2 linked regions of the Xenopus tropicalis genome follow. The main gene of each other region encodes a partner of the protein of the gene in region 2 in a complex. Links are inferred from orthologs where the notes say so. Each region holds a gene or a part of one and is shown on either strand. Other genes may lie near its edges.

Region 1 (4,597 bases), about 110 Mb from region 2:
GATGCGAAACAAAACATTATATATATAATATATATTTTTATATTAGAAATTAATGAATGATAAAAAAGCTTATGAATGTATATAATTATATTATGAATATACTCTTTTTGTGTAGCTTTTTGCTTTCATTCTTACCCCATAAAAGACTTGTATAGAGAGATAGATACATAGGATAAAGAATGAAGGTAAAAAACTTTTAGTCCCTTGTCCAATACAACTGTAAGTGAGTCAAAATAATACATTTTATTATATATTTTATATAGAAAATGAATGAATGGGTTGTGTTTCTAATAGGATCTGTTGTTCTTGTGTTTTCACTTTCATTCTGTTACCCCAAACACATACACACACATATATACATATATATATACTGCATATATATATATATATATGGGAAAAAGAATGACAGTGAAAAACGTTTAGTCCCTTGTGTAATAAAACTATAATTAAATCCAAATAACACATTGGACATAATCTGTATAACTTGCTTGGAATTAAACAACTCTAACGCCGGTGTAGGATACACATTACATATACAGTAAGTTTATCAGAGCCAATAAAACTCACCAAATAAAGAGATAAAAAAGAATAAATATTGATAAGAGGGTTTGAAGAATAACCTTGGTGCCTTTGTATGAATTGTATGGAGCCCCGCGCTGCGCAGCCATTCAGCTCCAACTTCAAACTGTTCTACAGTAAAGTGTTTTCATTGCTGCGACGTTATTGAATAAATATGTGTGTGAGTGTATATATATATATATATTTACTTATTTATTTATATATGTGTGTCTCTGCATTAACCAGTTGCTGCCATGATAGATTCAGTTAACTATAAACTATTTTAGTTGGGATCAAGTACAGGTACTGTTTTATTATTACAGAGAAAAGGGAATCATTTAACCATGAAATAAACCCAATAGGGCTGTTCTGCCCCAATAAGGGGTAATTATATCTTAGTTGGGATCAAGTACAGGTACTGTTTTATTATTACAGAGAAAAGGGAATCATTTAACCATGAAATAAACCCAATAGGGCTGTTCTGCCCCCAATAAGGGGTAATTATATCTTAGTTGGGATCAAGTACAGGTACTGTTTTATTATTACAGAGAAAAGGGAATCATTTAACCATTAAATAAACCCAATAGGGCTGTTCTGCCCCCAATAAGGGGTAATTATATCTTAGTTGGGATCAAGTACAGGTACTGTTTTATTATTACAGAGAAAAGGGAATCATTTAACCATTAAATAAACCCAATAGGGTTGTTCTGCCCCCAATAAGGGGTAATTATATCTTAGTTGGGATCAAATACATGTACTGTTTTATTATTACAGAGAAAAGGGAATCATTTAACCATGAAATAAACCCAATAGGGCTGTTCTGCCCCCAATAAGGGGTAATTATATCTTAGTTGGGATCAAGTACAGGTACTGTTTTATTATTACAGAGAAAAGGGAATCATTTAACCATTAAATAAACCCAATAGGGCTGTTCTGCCCCCAATAAGGGGTAATTATATCTTAGTTGGGATCAAGTACAGGTACTGTTTTATTATTACAGAGAAAAGGGAATCATTTAACCATGAAATAAACCCAATAGGACTGTTCTGCCCCAATAAGGGGTAATTATATCTTAGTTGGGATCAAGTACAGGTACTGTTTTATTATTACAGAGAAAAGGGAATCATTTAACCATGAAATAAACCCAATAGGGCTGTTCTGCCCCAATAAGGGGTAATTATATCTTAGTTGGGATCAAGTACAGGTACTGTTTTATTATTACAGAGAAAAGGGAATCATTTAACCATGAAATAAACCCAATAGGACTGTTCTGCCCCAATAAGGGGTAATTATATCTTAGTTGGGATCAAGTACAGGTACTGTTTTATTATTACAGAGAAAAGGGAATCATTTAACCATTAAATAAACCCAATAGGACTGTTCTGCCCCAATAAGGGGTAATTATATCTTAGTTGGGATCAAGTACAGGTACTGTTTTATTATTACAGAGAAAAGGGAATCATTTAACCATTAAATAAACCCAATAGGGCTGTTCTGCCCCAATAAGGGGTAATTATATCTTAGTTGGGATCAAGTACAGGTACTGTTTTATTATTACAGAGAAAAGGGAATCATTTAACCATGAAATAAACCCAATAGGGCTGTTCTGCCCCAATAAGGGGTAATTATATCTTAGTTGGGATCAAGTACAGGTACTGTTTTATTATTACAGAGAAAAGGGAATCATTTAACCATTAAATAAACCCAATAGGGCTGTTCTGCCCCAATAAGGGGTAATTATATCTTAGTTGGGATCAAGTACAGGTACTGTTTTATTATTACAGAGAAAAGGGAATCATTTAACCATTAAATAAACCCAATAGGGCTGTTCTGCCCCAATAAGGGGTAATTATATCTTAGTTGGGATCAAGTACAGGTACTGTTTTATTATTACAGAGAAAAGGAAATCATTTAAACATTAAATAAACCCAATAGGGCTGTTCTGCCCCAATAAGGGGTAATTATATCTTAGTTGGGATCAAGTACAGGTACTGTTTTATTATTACAGAAAAAACAGGAAAACATATTTTAAAATTTGATTAAAAAGGAGTCTATCTGTAATTTGGAGCTGGATAACGGATCCTATACCTGTATTACAAAATCGTTAAAACCATTTTAGATTTTAAAACTGCTATATTTACACATATTATTACATTTAAAAGCCATTAAAAATTGTTTCATGTCATTATTTAATATCGTTGCCCATGAAATTGCAATGCAGTACATTTTTGAAAACACAGATAAAAGAAGAGCAAACGAAGAGGGAACCTGTTTCAATAAAAGAATATTAAATATTTTTGGGGGGGCTTTTTCTAAACTTTAAAAAATCAAAAGGAATAAAGTAGAGGCAGGGGAAGGCTTAGGTATAAGCAATGTATGAGGAAAGGGAGACTGTATGTGGGAAAGGGCTTTCTTACCTGTTGATTTCAGTATTTCCAAGCTGTGCACTTCTTTGCCTGTGTCCTTCTCTCATCTCCAGGGCTGGTCTTTATATACCACATTTTAGCATTGTCTAGGGGGGAGAAGGGAACGGAGGATCTTCCGGACAGACCTTTCCCAGCAGAAGAGGAGGAGGAGGAGAAAAGTCAGGGTATAAGGTTGCATGTAAGAGACAGAACGGATGATTAGGAAAGAAAAGGTTGCTGGAAAGTCATGTACATGATATCTCCGTGGACAACAGGGATTAGCACCTTCCCTATAGAAAGACAAAGGTTCCCCAATCCCCCGGGATTGAACTTTTTTAACGGAGATTAATTAGAAGCTATTCACCCTTTGCAGTTGGCATTAAATAGCAATAAATGATCAAGGCAAATACGTAAATGGTGTATTCTGAGCGGGTTGAACCCAATTGGTTTTGCTACTCTTTAATTAGGGTGACGGCCAGTTTCCATCTAATAGGGAAAAGCCACTAAAGGAACAGGTGTTGGTCAGAAAGGGCATTTACATGGGGATCAGGGGGGTCAATTGCCTCTATCCACCCTAACAGAATCCACAACAGGTCTTGATTGCGTCGACTACATGTATCAGAAATATCAGGAGTATTGGAAAACGGGTCCCATATTGAACTCTTTAACATGGGCTAAAGAAGCAAAAGTTACTTTTACTACACAGTGGGACAGACTACTAGTTACATATCATTGGCCTTATAGCAAGAAAAAAAGAATAAGTTGAACAAAATTGAAGAAAATGCTATTATAAATTGTAACTATTGAAGCTCTTTCAGTGTTTTCTTTCGTTCCTGTTTCAGGATGGCAGTTGCTCATCTAAATTTGGACTTTCTAAAGTCATGGTTGGCCTTGTACTAGTGGGGTGGGACAGTAGGGTGGGACAGTATGTTGGGACAGTAGGGTGGGACAGTATGTTGGGACAGTAGGGTGGGACAGTAGGGTGGATGGAGTGGGACAGTGGGGTGGGCCAATAGGGTGGAGCAGTGGGGTGGGAAAGTAGGGTGGGACAGTATGTTGGGACAGTAGGGTGGGACAGTATGTTGGGACAGTAGGGTGGGACAGTAGGGTGGGACAGTAGGGTGGGACAGTAGGGTGGGACAGTAGGGTGGATGGAGTGGGACAGTGGGGTGGGCCAATAGGGTGGAGCAGTGGAGTGGGACAGTAGGGTGGGACAGTGGGGTGGGACAGTAGGGTGGGACAGTGGAGTGGGACAGTAGGGTGGGACAGTGGGGCGGGACAGTAGGGTGGGACAGTGGGGTGGGACAGTGGGGTGGGACAGTAGGGTGGGACAGTGGGGTGGGACAGTAGGGTGGGACAGTGGGGTGGGAGAGTGGGGTGGGACAGTAGGGTGGGACAGTAGGGTGGGACAGTGGGACGGGACAGTAGGGTGGGACAGTATGTTGGGACAGTAGGGTGGGACAGTAGGGTGGATGGAGTGGGACAGTGGGGTGGGCCAATAGGGTGGAGCAGTGGGGTGGGAAAGTAGGGTGGGACAGTATGTTGGGACAGTAGGGTGGGACAGTATGTTGGGACAGTAGGGTGGGACAGTAGGGTGGGACAGTAGGGTGGGACAGTAGGGTGGATGGAGTGGG
Region 2 (4,439 bases):
CCCTGTTTGTAGCGCAAATGAACTGATATGAGACATCATTTACAAAAGCCAGATACAAGTGCACTAAGGAGGATGAAGTTTCTTATTCACTCAGCACTTTGCCCCTGGGGTATAACTGTGCTCTGCACTGGCAGGAACATGGCAGCCCATTTAGGGGGCAGGTAGTGAGTGGGAAGGTGGACACCTTCTTGCCTTCCTCAGGCAACCCTTTATAAATATGGTGCTGCTAAAGACAGGCAGTACTGCATTAATCCAAAAAGAGTCAGGTCTTTAGGTGACCATGACTAGGCACCCTGCTCCACTGATTGTCAATGAGCCCTTAGGTGTCCTGTTGTGGAAGAATAAAGGAAAATATACAAGGCACAGGTTTATTAGCTCCTGATAAAATTGACCATAGTGTGTGATTGCAATCAAGACTAGATTGTAAGCTCTGTAAGCATTGGGGCAGGGACTGTTAGGAATAATGTATAATCATTGTAAAAGCATTGCGGAATATGTTGTATTGACTAATAATACAGGTAAATAAAGGAAAAATGCACATAAAGTAACACAAAAATAATGTTTATTCTAAAGCCAAATAATCTTCAAGGCCTTGCACTCTGACACTCTAATGAAGCATCTAGTGCTGACTTGGCACACCAAGATATGTCGCTTGTATATAGTACATGTGCACAGAATTAGAATTAAGCAACAGCCTACTTGTATGACTGGCCCCTTGGTGCAAACCACCAACATAAAACAAAAAAATGGACAGAATGCTTTTGTTTGCTATTTTTTTCCAGTTCAATGTTATTAGCCACAATGGCTTGGTCTGGAAAACGTACTCCCTGATTCCTGTTAAGGATGTCACTATCACTTCCAATAGATGGCACTGTGTACATATTGATACTGTTTCACTGATCATTATAGGTATAGGAAAAGTTATATGTAATAAAACTACTTTAATTAACAGCAATGTCTTTATCTCTCTGTAGCAACACCTATACTATACTGTATTGATAATGGGAACAAAATGATTCTATCATCTCTAAGTTCATCTATTGCTTTATTTTAACAGAAGCTTGATAAGTGATATTTATTATCCAAAAATAATCTAAGTGCTCCTGGCATCAAGCCTTTGATGAGCGTGTGTACGATTTAGCAGGGGAAGAGGGACCTGTGGGAAGGTTGGCTCTAGGGCAGGTCCACTGGGCACAGGGAAACTTTATATTCATTTCAACATAGAGGAAGACCATGGATCTAGATGGGAAGTATTGTACTTTATGCACCTTCTCTAGTAGTAGGGAAAAGGCACCCACTGTATGATACTTGTGGAACACAGGATAGTATATACATCTGTGCAAATACATATGATCATTGCTTCTTAATGAAACAATTCACATTGCTAGTGTTTGATTTGATCACATCCCCTTTCCTCCCAAGAGTTTGCAATGAGTGGGTTTCCCAATGTACTGTGTGATACAGTGTTATAGTGAATCCACTTAAATAATACATGATCTCTAGTAAGTAGCAATTAGCGACAGTAATCCCACTGCCTGCGAGAGACATCAGACTGCGAAATGCCAGGGTGGGGTGCCAGGCATGAAGGAAGGGGCACTGGCTTAAGCCCTTACCTGACAATGACATACATGATCAGGAGTCAAGTGTTTACCTGACAACTACATACATGATCAGGAGTCAAGTGCTTACCATACAACTACATACATGATCAGGAGTCAAGTGCTTACCATACAACTACATACATGATCAGGAGTGAAGTGTTTACCTGACAACTACATACATGATCAGGAGTCAAGTGTTTACCTAACAACTACATACATGATCAGGAGTCAAGTGTTTACCTGACAACTACATACATGATCAGGAGTCAAGTGTTTACCTGACAACTACATACATGATCAGGAGTCAAGTGTTTACCTGACAACTACATACATGATCAAGAGTGAAGTGCTTACCTGACAATGACATACATGATCAGGAGTCAAGTGCTTACCATACAACTACATACATGATCAGGAGTCAAGTGCTTACCATACAACTACATACATGATCAGGAGTCAAGTGCTTACCATACAACTACATACATGATCAGGAGTGAAGTGCTTACCTGACAATGACATACATGACCAAGACGTTGCCAAAGAGTCCCATCACACAGATCATGGAGTAGAGAGCGGTGATGATGATGGCTATAATAATGGAATCGCTGTCCTCCGGGAAAGTCTCTGACTGGTTGCACAAGTATGACTGGTTGCCTTCCAGTCTGCTCCAGTTGCCCATGCCGCCAACCGGACATATCATTGGAATCTGAGAGCCATTGTCACCCAAGCCGCTAAGGGTGCTATTGAGCAGGCTGTCGGCAGATCGAAGGGAGCTGTTCGGGGTACCGTCCATTTTGAGCTTAGCGAGTGCTAGTTTGGTGCTAAGAGGCGCTAGGATGTGAGCGCTGGATGTAGAGTGGCTCCAATGAGGCTCTCCTCCTCCTCCTCCTCCCCCCGCACTGCTGCCCCTTCTGCTCTCCCCCCTCTCCTGTCAGTCACAGAGAAAGCGCTCAGCCAGCTGCAAGGGGCCAGGGAGCGGGCAAGGAGGGTGATAGCAAAGCGCTGGGAAAGCGCAAGGAATGGCTGTACCCAACAGTGCGAGAGCCGTGCGTGTCTTCTCTTCCAGGCATTAATCCTCCACTTCTAGTCCCCTCTGCATCCACCTATTATATACACCCCGCCTCTTCTCTTCTCCTCACCGCCAGCAGCCACCGCACCAGCAGCCCCATTAGCCTCCCCGCCGCCGTCAGGCGCTAATTGACTCGCACTAACACTGCCCAGCTCCGCTAATAATGAGTCGCTTGCTCATCTGACGTTGGGCTACAAAGAGTTAAACAAAGGAGTACAGACTCAGCACCAACCCATACACCCTACTAACTACCTCTATCAGCACAGTACTACCAAACCATATACACCACCTTATACACACTCACCAACCCATACACACTGCCAACCCCACTCACCAACCCATACACACTGCCAACCCCACTCACCAACCCATACACACTGCCAACCCCACTCACCAACCCATACACACTGCCAACCCCACTCACCAACCCATACACACACTACTAACCCCACTCACCAACCCATACACACTGCCAACCCCACTCACCAACCCATACACACTACCAACCCCACTCACCAACCCATACACACTGCCAACCCCACTCACCAACCCATACACACTACCAACCCCACTCACCAACCCATACACACATCCAACCCCACTCACCAACCCATACACACTACCAACCCCACTCACCAACCCATACACACTGCTAACCCCACTCACCAACCCATACACACTACCAACCCCACTCACCAACCCATACACACTGCCAACCCCACTCACCAACCCATACACACTGTTAACCCCACTCACCAACCCATACACACTACCAACCCCACTCACCAACCCATACACACTACCAACCCCACTCACCATCCCATACATACTACCAACCCCACTCACCAACCCATACACACTGCCAACCCCACTCACCAACCCATACACACACTACTAACCCCACTCACCAACCCATACACACACTACTAACCCCACTCACCAACCCATACACACACTACTAACCCCACTCACCAAACCATACACACACTACTAACCCCACTCACCAACCCATACACACACTACTAACCCCACTCACCAAACCATACACACACTACTAACCCCACTAACCAACCAATAAACACACTACTAACCCCACTCACCAACCCATACACACTTACTAGCTTACCAACACACACATACTTGCTGCCTCTACCAACACACATAATATTTTTCATTATTTGTTAATCCCTTGGAATTTAAATGACAAGACAGATGTGAGACAAAAAATGGCATGAGATGAGCTTGTTTTACTGACTCCGCTACAAACCACTGCTCTGCCATAGCCTGGTCAGGTGTGGGTGGGGGTGCCTATCTGGTTTATTGTACAGTTCATAGGGGTCAGTTATTCTGCCTTTATTTCACAACATGATTCAAATAAAAATAATATCCTTATCATTTCCCTGGCCTTTATCTGCAGCAAGAGGAAAAGCTATATGTAATCCTTTCTCACACCTTCACAAGCTTGGTGCCCAGGAATAGCTTGCTTTCTGCACTTTCTGAAATATGTTGTGATTAGGAAGACACCAACACGCTTGCTTTCTTTCTTTCTTTCTTTCTTTCACACATAGTAGATTATTAGATTTCAGGTGTATTCAGTCCTGATTGCAGGTAAACTGGAAATACTTTATAATGCACAGCCTTTGAGTTGGCTGATATCAACTTGATTCAGACCCTTCCTTGCCCAATCTTTGCACTACAGTAACCCTGCTTCCAGGAGATTTGCCCAAGGGTGCATGTGTTATAGAACTCTGTTCTCCTAGGGAAAGCAT

The links.
Region 1: the proteins of oprm1 (region 2) and pomc are in contact, whole or in part, in a cryo-EM structure (PDB 8F7Q), measured with the Homo sapiens proteins. The link is inferred for Xenopus tropicalis from reciprocal best matches to the Homo sapiens genes OPRM1 and POMC. Residues at the interface, in NP_000905.3 of Homo sapiens: Ser66, Met67, Ala70, Ile71, Met74, Gln126, Asn129, Tyr130, Leu131, Met132, Gly133, Trp135, Val145, Ile146, Asp149, Tyr150, Met153, Arg213, Ile217, Asp218, Cys219, Thr220, Glu231, Lys235, Val238, Ile298, Val302, Lys305, Trp320, Ile324; in NP_000930.1 of Homo sapiens: Tyr237, Gly238, Gly239, Phe240, Met241, Thr242, Ser243, Glu244, Lys245, Thr248, Pro249, Leu250, Val251, Leu253.

Annotation. Positions count from the first base shown.
Region 1 is NC_030681.2:153,208,560-153,213,156, forward strand, and holds the start of pomc (pro-opiomelanocortin precursor), read right to left. Parts: upstream 3,015-4,597; 5' UTR 2,976-3,014; intron 1-2,975.
Region 2 is NC_030681.2:43,442,208-43,446,646, reverse strand, and holds the start of oprm1 (mu-type opioid receptor), read right to left. Parts: upstream 2,884-4,439; 5' UTR 2,395-2,883; coding exon 2,108-2,394; intron 1-2,107. UniProt on the Homo sapiens protein: Receptor for endogenous opioids such as beta-endorphin and endomorphin. Receptor for natural and synthetic opioids including morphine, heroin, DAMGO, fentanyl, etorphine, buprenorphin and methadone.